3 linked regions of the Saccharomyces cerevisiae S288C genome follow. The protein of the gene in region 1 purifies or fractionates together with the protein of each later gene. This does not show direct contact. Each region holds a gene or a part of one and is shown on either strand. Other genes may lie near its edges.

The links.
Region 2: the proteins of NUC1 (region 1) and YMR099C purify together in Saccharomyces cerevisiae (affinity purification with mass spectrometry; 4 studies listed by BioGRID, with this or other methods). This does not show direct contact.
Region 3: the proteins of NUC1 (region 1) and POR1 purify together in Saccharomyces cerevisiae (affinity purification with mass spectrometry, with the first as the bait; 2 studies listed by BioGRID). This does not show direct contact.

The regions. Positions count from the first base shown.
Region 1 is NC_001142.9:39,668-43,152, forward strand, and holds NUC1 (ribonuclease), read right to left. Parts: upstream 1,517-3,485; coding exon 527-1,516; downstream 1-526. Other genes in the region: CBP1 (Cbp1p), read left to right, coding at 1-302; AP-1 complex accessory protein LAA1, read right to left, coding at 1,722-3,485. UniProt on the Saccharomyces cerevisiae protein: This enzyme has both RNase and DNase activity.
Region 2 is NC_001145.3:463,306-466,464, forward strand, and holds YMR099C (glucose-6-phosphate 1-epimerase), read right to left. Parts: upstream 1,523-3,159; coding exon 629-1,522; downstream 1-628. Other genes in the region: MYND-type zinc finger protein MUB1, read left to right, coding at 2,995-3,159. UniProt on the Saccharomyces cerevisiae protein: Catalyzes the interconversion between the alpha and beta anomers from at least three hexose 6-phosphate sugars (Glc6P, Gal6P, and Man6P).
Region 3 is NC_001146.8:517,369-520,519, reverse strand, and holds POR1 (porin POR1), read left to right. Parts: upstream 1-1,674; coding exon 1,675-2,526; downstream 2,527-3,151. Other genes in the region: YNL054W-A (gag protein), read right to left, coding at 1-1,064; OCA2 (Oca2p), read right to left, coding at 2,678-3,151. UniProt on the Saccharomyces cerevisiae protein: Non-selective voltage-gated ion channel that mediates the transport of anions and cations through the mitochondrion outer membrane.

The sequences.
Region 1 (3,485 bases):
CGAACTGTAACCCATTCATTGCATCCTCCCCATGTGATGTCAAATTAAAAGTGAATAATCAAAACAGGTTTACTATTTTAAGGAATATTGCATTAAGCGCACTGCAGATAGGAAGAACAGACATTTTTCTTTGGGCGTGCGCAGAACTATACCAGAACGGTATGACGATTGAGGAATTGAAGTTAGACTGGAATTTCATCTTAAAACATCAAATTAGAAATTCAGAGTTCAAAACAAACAAGGAGATCATACAAGATATTAAAAAGCATGGTGTGTCGGCTGTCAAACGTTACTTAAGATGAACGGCCAAACGCACATTTACGATATAAATAACAAAGCAAATAATAACAAAACAAATTTCTGTAAATATATACTAAATCCAAGCATTGCATCCTAATTCTTTTCTTTTTTTGATCATCAAATAAATGTATTATTTTATGTTATATGCGTTAGACTTGTTATATTCTTTCATGCTATTCTATCGTTGTGTTATGAATTAATTTATATTTACAGTTTTTCAGTACATTCAATTCCTTTTTTTTGGAGGAGGTAACAATTTCACATCTTTCGATTGTTTGATCGCCGCGTTAGAGAAATCTCTCACTACAATTTGACAATTTACCTCTTTGCATAATGCCTTCTTCTTTGAAGGTGGTACTTTTTGCAGAAGTTCTAGCCCAGTACTTCTCTCTAAAGCATCTATAGGAACTTCAAAGTCAGTCAATTTCGTCTCATTTGATATCGGTTCGTTTGGCAATACAAATGCCGCGACAGCAATATCCTCTCTAGCAGGATTGGCTGTTGGTGCTTCTGCAACAATCAATTTAAAAAAGTGCGTTGGAACAGCAATACTGGGTGGATTGCCAATAACTTCATAATTAACCCTAAATTTATTATCTATGGGATCCTTTTTGGGTAGATACAATGGACCAGTCACGATTCTTACACTCTTATATTTCTTAGTCAATCCCCTACAAAAGTACTCCAAATGCGCCCAATAGTCTCTATTAAAACCTTCTCCTACTTGAGGACACATATTGGATAAGTAGAATGTATCATCCATGGCCTGTTGAGAAAATTTTGCGTCTGCAGCTGGGGCTTGATGGCCTCGATCATAGCCCGACCTAAAATAGTCTCTTAGTTTACCTCTAAACTTTTCTGGAATTACTTCATCTTCCTTGAAAAAGGAATTTTTTCTGTCAGCATTCCTTGCAGCCAATGATTCTGGCGTTATATGTTCGAGGACCCAATAAGGATTTTGAGTTTGTCTGTTGTAACATGAGATAAACTCTTCGCGGTTCTGCAGATCATGAATCGGACCAGGAAAACCATACTTGAAGAACCCGGAAGGATCGACGTTGAAAGAGTGAGATTGAATATTACTATTAGGTTTCTGGGTAGGTGGATAAGGTGTCTCAATGATTTGCGTTGGAGAATGTTTGTTCAAAAGAAGATAGGTTAAGCCAGTACCAGCACCCAGTCCGACTAAACCGGACAAGAGTATCCTACTGCACATGATAACTTTAACTTTGGGATCTAATAAGTGGGGAACTTAACTAAATGTTCTTATCTTTATACAATTGTAACTCTATAAAAACTAACAAATTACTTGATGAGTGACCAATAACCAATTGCACCATTGATATTTTTTCACAGATTTTATTTTTTTTTTCTTTTTTCGCGATGAGTTTTATTTCCGTGCATATGCATCCGACTTGCAATTAGTCGAAAGATTTCAGTTGAAAGGCCTCTTCGACAGAGCCCAAAGACTGCGATTTAACGTATGCCTCCATCACGGAACCTATAATTGCTTTTTGTTGAGGACTTATAGTGCTAGAAATGGCTTCTTTAAATGAATTTTTGTCCAATTTAGCCAAAGCAACTATGCCACTTGCTACTTCGTTGTCTATTTTCTCTGTATATGCGCTATGATATGCGGCAAAGAAAGAAAGACATAAAGCAATTGACAATGATGCCTTTTGGTGATCTTGTTTGATTACTTCCTCGGAAAACTGAATTATCAACTTAGTTTTAATGCTTGCCTGCGATAAGGAATCGTTTGTTTGAATATCTTGAAAGAATCTTTTTATAACCAACTTCATAAAATACTGCAACAACGGGTATTTGAAAATATTAGATATTATTCTCTTGAAGCCTTGTAGAGCAATTGGCTGCGTAGCAGGATTATTCAATGCCTCCGAGAGAATATTTGCGCACTGATTCAGTTCCTGAAAACTTAGCTTAGAGTATCCATTAGACAGCAAGATCAAAATGGTTGCAACTTTATTCTTTGAATCCAGCTTATGATAAATAACATCTTTTATTGACCCGTAGAATATTTCTAGTAACACAATATTTTTTTCGTCCTCAGATTCCGTAAGCGCTTTTACTAGTGCCTTGAAAAGTGGGAGTATGATTGGAATTATTACTTCACGATGACTACATTCATAAATTTTCCCTATGATGAATAAAAGACATGAATAAAGATCTACTTTGAACATATTGTCGAAGTTACTGATATTTGATTCGAACGCAATAAATGTTTTTTTCAACAGACTAATATCTGTGGGAGAGATTTTTATTTCATTATCATCTTCTTCGCTGGTAAGCACGTTATACTTAATAAATGGCAACCTCTCAGAAATAATTGTCATCAGTAGTCGCAGTAGCTCATATAGTTTGTCAATATCTTGTAGAAATGTTTCAGGAGTAGCATTACACTTCGAATACCCAATGATCAAGTCACTGATGATATCAACAAGCAAAAATTCTTCTTTACTGTCGCCTGTAGAAATCAGTCTGTCCATAATCTCAACAACTTCAGTAATAATATCATCCTCAAATATACTTTTTATGCACAGATTGCTCTTCAAAACATTGTGTAAAGCCGGTAAAACTTGCATCTTGACTGAATGATCATCAATATTTTTGACGATAGCCTCCAAACATTGGCTAAATAAAATAAAAAGAAAATACTCTAATTCCTCATCGTTAAGAGATGCCAAAATGACTTGAACGTCTGAATCCAGAGTGCACCCAAGGGCCTCTACGAAATTTAACCAGACCGGTTCATATAACTCAATTTTCGTACTTCTTGGTTCAATGAGACTATTTTCTTTCGAGTCATTCTTTACTTGCACAGTAGAATCATTATCGTTATACTTTATCATCATGTATTCACGTAAAGAAATGATCCATAATGGGACTAAAATGCTCCAATATTTCCTGGTAAAAGAGAAAAGCGCATCATTTGACGACGTGATGGATCTTTGCACTACCTCAGCCCACGCATCCAAAACGGCAAGTTCAATTTTTCTTTTCGCTTTGGGTGTAACGATTATAGCTTCCCCTATCCGTATACCGGAATTAGGATCTTTAAAGTTACCAAGAAGGTCAATTAGTAATTGTGAAATTCTTCCCAATTTATCTGGTGGCATTATATTCGATGCCAACACTTCAGCAGCAACAGTAATAGCAAAGGACAT
Region 2 (3,159 bases), on another chromosome or scaffold:
CCTATTACATTATCAATCCTTGCATTTCAGCATCCTCTAACTTCGATGACAGCTTCTCATACCTTATGCCATCATCTAACACCGTATATCATAATATACTGGTAGTGTGACTACTAGTTGATAGACGATAGTTGATTTTTGATTTTTATTCCAACAGTCCTGATGATAAGTTACTGTCAAAGACATAATTATTATCAAAATATATGGTATTAGATGGACTGGTAAAAGTACAAAACTTCAGAAATTTGTCCGTGATAGTTTAATGGTCAGAATGGGCGCTTGTCGCGTGCCAGATCGGGGTTCAATTCCCCGTCGCGGAGATTTTTTTATCAGACCAGGTGGGTGTTGTTTGATCATCACAAAGTAGAATTCAGTGTCATTTTTAAAAACGTTACTTAATTTTACGATAATATGCTGCCAGAACAAGTTTAACAATACGCTTTTGGCAATTTGTTCTTGCTGCACTTGGAATTAAATAAGAGTCTTAGTAAACAGAATGTTGCTTTAGTTGTTCGTCAACAAAAACAAAGATAAAGGATGGAGGTAATCAAATAGCCCACATTAAGAAAAGTATACAACTGGGAATTTACTTTATAAAAATTACCGTTGCTACATTTTTTTATATTATTTATTGAATAGCTTGATATTTCAATTCTTCTTTGCAAAGTAATTGATAAGCATTCCATTTTTTACCAGGAGCCAAGGAAATAAAATCATGAACATGACCAGGTTCAATACATATCATTTGTTGGTAACCAGTTTTTGGTTCGAAATCGGCCATCCCTTGAGACTTCTCAATCCATGGATTCCAAACAACAGTGTCGGGCAAGTTGTATCTTTTTAGAGTGTGAATTTGAACGCCCTTGTCAACTATTTGAATGGCCCGTTCGGCGCTGACATTCTGATAAATTACATCGGTTTCTTGATTGAAGGTAACGACTGGGTGCTTGTCGACGTAGGATTCCTTCAACAGTTGGTCATAAAGTTTCATGCCAGCTAAATTAGAGACCATTGTTCCTTCAATATCTTCGATACGGAAGTATGTATGGAACAACCAGTTGAACTTTAATTCCTTGGAACTAGATGTGTTTTCTACTTCTATGGCAGTTTTCAAATAATCGGAGCCTAATTCAACAGTCAAAATCAAAAGATAATCCATTGGCCACAATTTGGTCAATTCTGGGTTAGCAATTTCTGGTTTCAAGCCAAATTGTACGGTCGGTGGGTTTTCCTTAGTTTGACCCAAAAACTCCCAAGTAGAATTTCTTGCAAGACCATGTTGAGGTAATTTACTCAAATGTTCATCGGTGCTATTTTTCCCGAATACAGGAAAGACCAAAGGTATACCACCTCTCACAGGTTTGCTACCATCCAATTTAGCAGCAGTAGACAACCACAACTGTTCTTCAGATTTCAATTTCCAAGAATAAACTGTAGCACCGTACTTTAGAATATGAACGCTGGTGGTCTCATCAGCTGGATGAGTCAAAACAACTTCTTTATCAGTTTCTTTGATAGGCATGGCTTTGTGTTTTAATCTTTCTTGGTTCAAGTTTTACCAAAGGCTTATAATGAACCTCAGAATCACCTCTTTATTCATTTCTAGGGACCTACTAAGTTTTCTTTCGGCGTGAAAAATAAAAGGCGCATTGGTGACCCCATTTGCGATACCTTTTTATGGAAAGACAGCTTGAAGAAAGACCTTGTTATCATTGACTGCGTCTAGCGAACGAGGACATCTACACACTATTTCTTCTGCTGCAATGATTGATGCCGTTTAGATGAATGGTCGGGACGTAACTTATGTTTTAAGAAGAAGGCACTTTTCCTGGTGCAATAGATGAATCTCGGTTTCAAGTTAACTATATAAATATGGGGTTGGCATTATATGTCATGCTTTATTATAATTAGGCATATAAAACTACATGGTTATGAAAGGCGCTGGCAGTAAAAGGGTTGTTTGTCAATGGCAAGAATTAATCATTCTCGCATTGAAATATATGTAGATCGAGGTGAACTGTTAGATGGTCCATCAGACATTTATTATTTTGACTTATGTATTTCCCTCTCAATTTTGTTATCAGTAATCGAGTCATGTGTACTTTAAAGTTCATATTCTCACGTTTTTCGCAAGATATTAGCCGCCAATAGCAACTCCGAATAATAAGAGCTATATAAAGGCCGTTGAAGCCCACGGAAAGAGAAAGAAAACTAATAGTTATTACAATATAGACCGTTGGTTTTTTCTTTCCCTCCTGGAGCAGCTGCGTATAGTTACTACCTAAGAAGTGGGCTAGAAGTTGGCTAGAAGTGGGCTACTTAATATATATCTTTGGATACATAGAAAGGAACCAGGAAAAAGGAAAATTATTTAGATGGCTTCCATAAGTTTATGATGGTTCAAACGGCAAAAAGCCTTTTGACTATTTTTCTTGGTTGAACTATCTTCTTATTAGGCCTACTACAACAATGCATCGAGCTAGGATAACAACTAGAATACTTTGGTTATGTATTGTATGGGTGTTCAGTGGCAAAATTTGAGAGTTGGGTTATTGATGGTCGGCCTATACAAACGAAAGACCTAGAGCAGCTCACAAGGAAGAAAGTGCTGGACAAACTTCCCTACCTGAAGAGAAAAATATCCGTTTTTTATATAGTTTCTGTAAGTGTGCACAGTGACTTCCTCATTAGAGCGATATAGATAATTTGAGACTTTATTTATTTTTTATTTTTGTTGGTTCTCATATTCAACCTTCCATTTATCTAAGTTGAACCATTAAACATTCCCTTTTTTACTTTGCTAATTTCATCATACCCATTGATCAACTATAAGTGAAACTTGGGAATCTTCCATTATACAAAGGTGAGGTCCCTATTTGTTGCATTTTTCAATTCATTTCCCTGGGAGTTTTTGTTTGTTTTTGCTATATTAACATATCATAACAGCGTATAGAACGTAATTTGAAATATTCAAAACAAAGAAAAGGTAAAGAAATGAGAGACTCTAATCATCGATCATTAACGTCGAACAAGCCTATAGTAACAATAACATCTACTGTCTATGACCGAAGGGCATTGGATATCAACTCTAGTATTCCGTTAATAAACTCCCTAAACTACTTAACATATCTAACCTCTAATTCATCAAAAGTTAGGGAA
Region 3 (3,151 bases), on another chromosome or scaffold:
TTTCTCGATCCCTGTTGTTCTTCATAAATAGCATGGATATCTAAGAACAGTTCAGCGACTGTCATATTTAGATGTCGATGACGTGTGTAGCGTAAAAATTTATATTCGCCAGATAGACCTCTCATAATTAATTGGCATGCGACCTTGTTATTGATATGAATGCCATTATTGTTCAGTCTGTCGATAATGTTTGTGACTTTTGTTTCAAATGCATCTGCAGGTGTACTGCCATTATATTGCAAATTTGCCAGGGTCACAATGTCGTTTGCCTCTTGGGTATCAGATTGCATTTTTTCAATACTTTTGGAAAGAATTTTCATGATATCCGTATAATCAACGGATAGGATGTCTTTGACCCAGGTAGGTAGGAATTGAGATGGAGCAAATATTTGAAAAGTGTTATACAAGAAGGTGAGTTCATCATCAGTGATCTGACGTACGGGTTTTCCGTTTACTGTCGGAATAATACCACCGAGATTCGAGTTTTGTAAAAATTTGATGTATGTTTTAACCCAATTTAGAAAGTCATTAGGTGAGGTTAACATTGGTGGTGGTCTGACATATTTTTTAGTGGATGTCATATCAGAGTCCGCTGAGGATGAATCAGTAAATGTATTACCTGACTCAGGTGATGGAGTGCTCAGAGGCGTTCCAACTGATGATGGATACTGCGGAAACTGTGAATGTGGCCCAGGTGGAAAGTACATAGGCGACATTTGATAAGGTGTATACGGAATCATAGATGGGCGTCCGTAAAATGACCAATCAGATGGATTGGCTTGGTTTTGGGTCATCATGCACTGCTGTGGGTACGGCCCATTCTGTGGTGAATGTGACTGAGCAGTTTGAGGAGAGGCATGATGGGGGTTCTCTGGAACAGCTGATGAAGCAGGTGTTGTTGTCTGTTGAGAGTTAGCCTTAGTGGAAGCCTTATCATATTCTTGAATTTTGGAAGCTGAAACGTCTAACGGATCTTGATTTGTGTGGACTTCCTTAGAAGTAACCGAAGCACAGGCGCTACCATGAGAAATGGGTGAATGTTGAGATAATTGTTGGGATTCCATTGTTGATAAAGGCTATAATATTAGGTATACAGAATATACTAGAAGTTCTCCTCGAGGATTTAGGAATCCATAAAAGGAAATCTGTAATTCTACACAATTCTATAAATATTATTATCATCGTTTTATATGTTAATATTCATTGATCCTATTACATTATCAATCCTTGCGTTTCAGCTTCCACTAATTTAGATGACTATTTCTCATCATTTGCGTCATCTTCTAACACCGTATATGATAATATACTAGTAACGTAAATACTAGTTAGTAGATGATAGTTGATTTTTATTCCAACAAGTTTAATGGTCAGAATGGGCGCTTGTCGCGTGCCAGATCGGGGTTCAATTCCCCGTCGCGGAGATTTTTTGCCGCACGTTTCCGCGTCAGACGAGCTTTTTTCACGGTTCCGGTGCTTTTTGCCGGCTGCGGCCCAATCAAACACCGCCATTTCGGCCGTTCCTCAACAAAGAACCCCTTTTATAGCCAGCAGAGCACGAGTTGATCTACTATATAACTACCCCCAACTCGTTCCACTACTCATTAGTGCTACGGATTCTCCCAACACGAAACAGCCAAGCGTACCCAAAGCAAAAATCAAACCAACCTCTCAACAATGTCTCCTCCAGTTTACAGCGATATCTCCAGAAATATCAATGACCTATTGAACAAGGATTTCTATCATGCTACCCCAGCTGCCTTTGATGTGCAAACAACAACCGCCAATGGCATTAAGTTCTCATTGAAGGCTAAACAGCCTGTCAAAGACGGTCCACTGTCTACTAACGTGGAAGCAAAGTTGAATGACAAGCAAACCGGCTTGGGTCTAACTCAAGGCTGGTCTAACACAAACAACTTGCAAACCAAATTAGAGTTTGCCAACTTGACCCCTGGTCTAAAGAACGAATTGATCACTTCTTTGACTCCAGGCGTCGCCAAGTCCGCCGTCTTAAACACTACGTTCACACAACCTTTCTTCACCGCAAGAGGTGCCTTTGACTTGTGTTTGAAGTCACCAACATTTGTTGGTGACTTAACTATGGCCCACGAAGGTATTGTTGGTGGCGCAGAGTTTGGTTACGATATCAGCGCCGGTTCCATTTCTCGTTATGCCATGGCTTTAAGTTATTTCGCCAAAGACTACTCCTTGGGCGCTACATTGAACAACGAGCAAATAACTACCGTTGACTTCTTCCAAAACGTCAACGCCTTTTTACAGGTCGGTGCTAAGGCTACAATGAACTGCAAACTACCTAACTCCAATGTCAACATCGAATTCGCCACTAGATATTTGCCTGATGCATCTTCCCAAGTTAAGGCTAAGGTGTCCGATTCCGGTATTGTCACTTTGGCTTACAAGCAATTGTTAAGACCTGGCGTCACTCTGGGTGTCGGTTCCTCTTTCGATGCTTTGAAGTTGTCTGAACCTGTTCACAAGCTAGGTTGGTCTTTGTCCTTCGACGCTTGAACGTATATATCTAATATATATATGTTCACTATATACCATATATGTGCTCGTTCTTGTTTCCATTTTTCTACTTGATCTTTAGACTTGTTGTTTTATTTATACAAATATATTAATGACAGAAAATATTCTTTGTAACGGCTGGTTCTCATAATCATATTGGTTGCTTGGCAGTGAGAATAGACTCACTTCCTGACTCATCATCACTTCCTTCCGCAGCCTCTAGCTCATTCAAATACAAGCAGTGTTTAGCAAAGCCAGGGATAACGTTTCTCGGTATTTTCAGATTGGTTTCGAACATTGTGATAAACTCCAAATCTACTCCATCTTTCATCCCACCAGAAAATAACCCGTACTCTTGGCATATACCTGCAGTGGACCATCCCTGTAACAACTTTCTTATGATTCCCACAACTACACCAACACGGTGCTTGCCCTTATTGGAATGCACTAAGATGGGATAGTTTCTGACATCCAGCACCAAGTGCAAGACCTGGTTCATTCTTTCTTGAATTCCTTCATCGCGGCTTGAATCCATAAATATGTGATAGTATTTTATCTTTTCTGACTCCAGGAAGCTTTGATATTCTTCGAGAGGCCTATCTTTATCGCCAATATATATTATGGT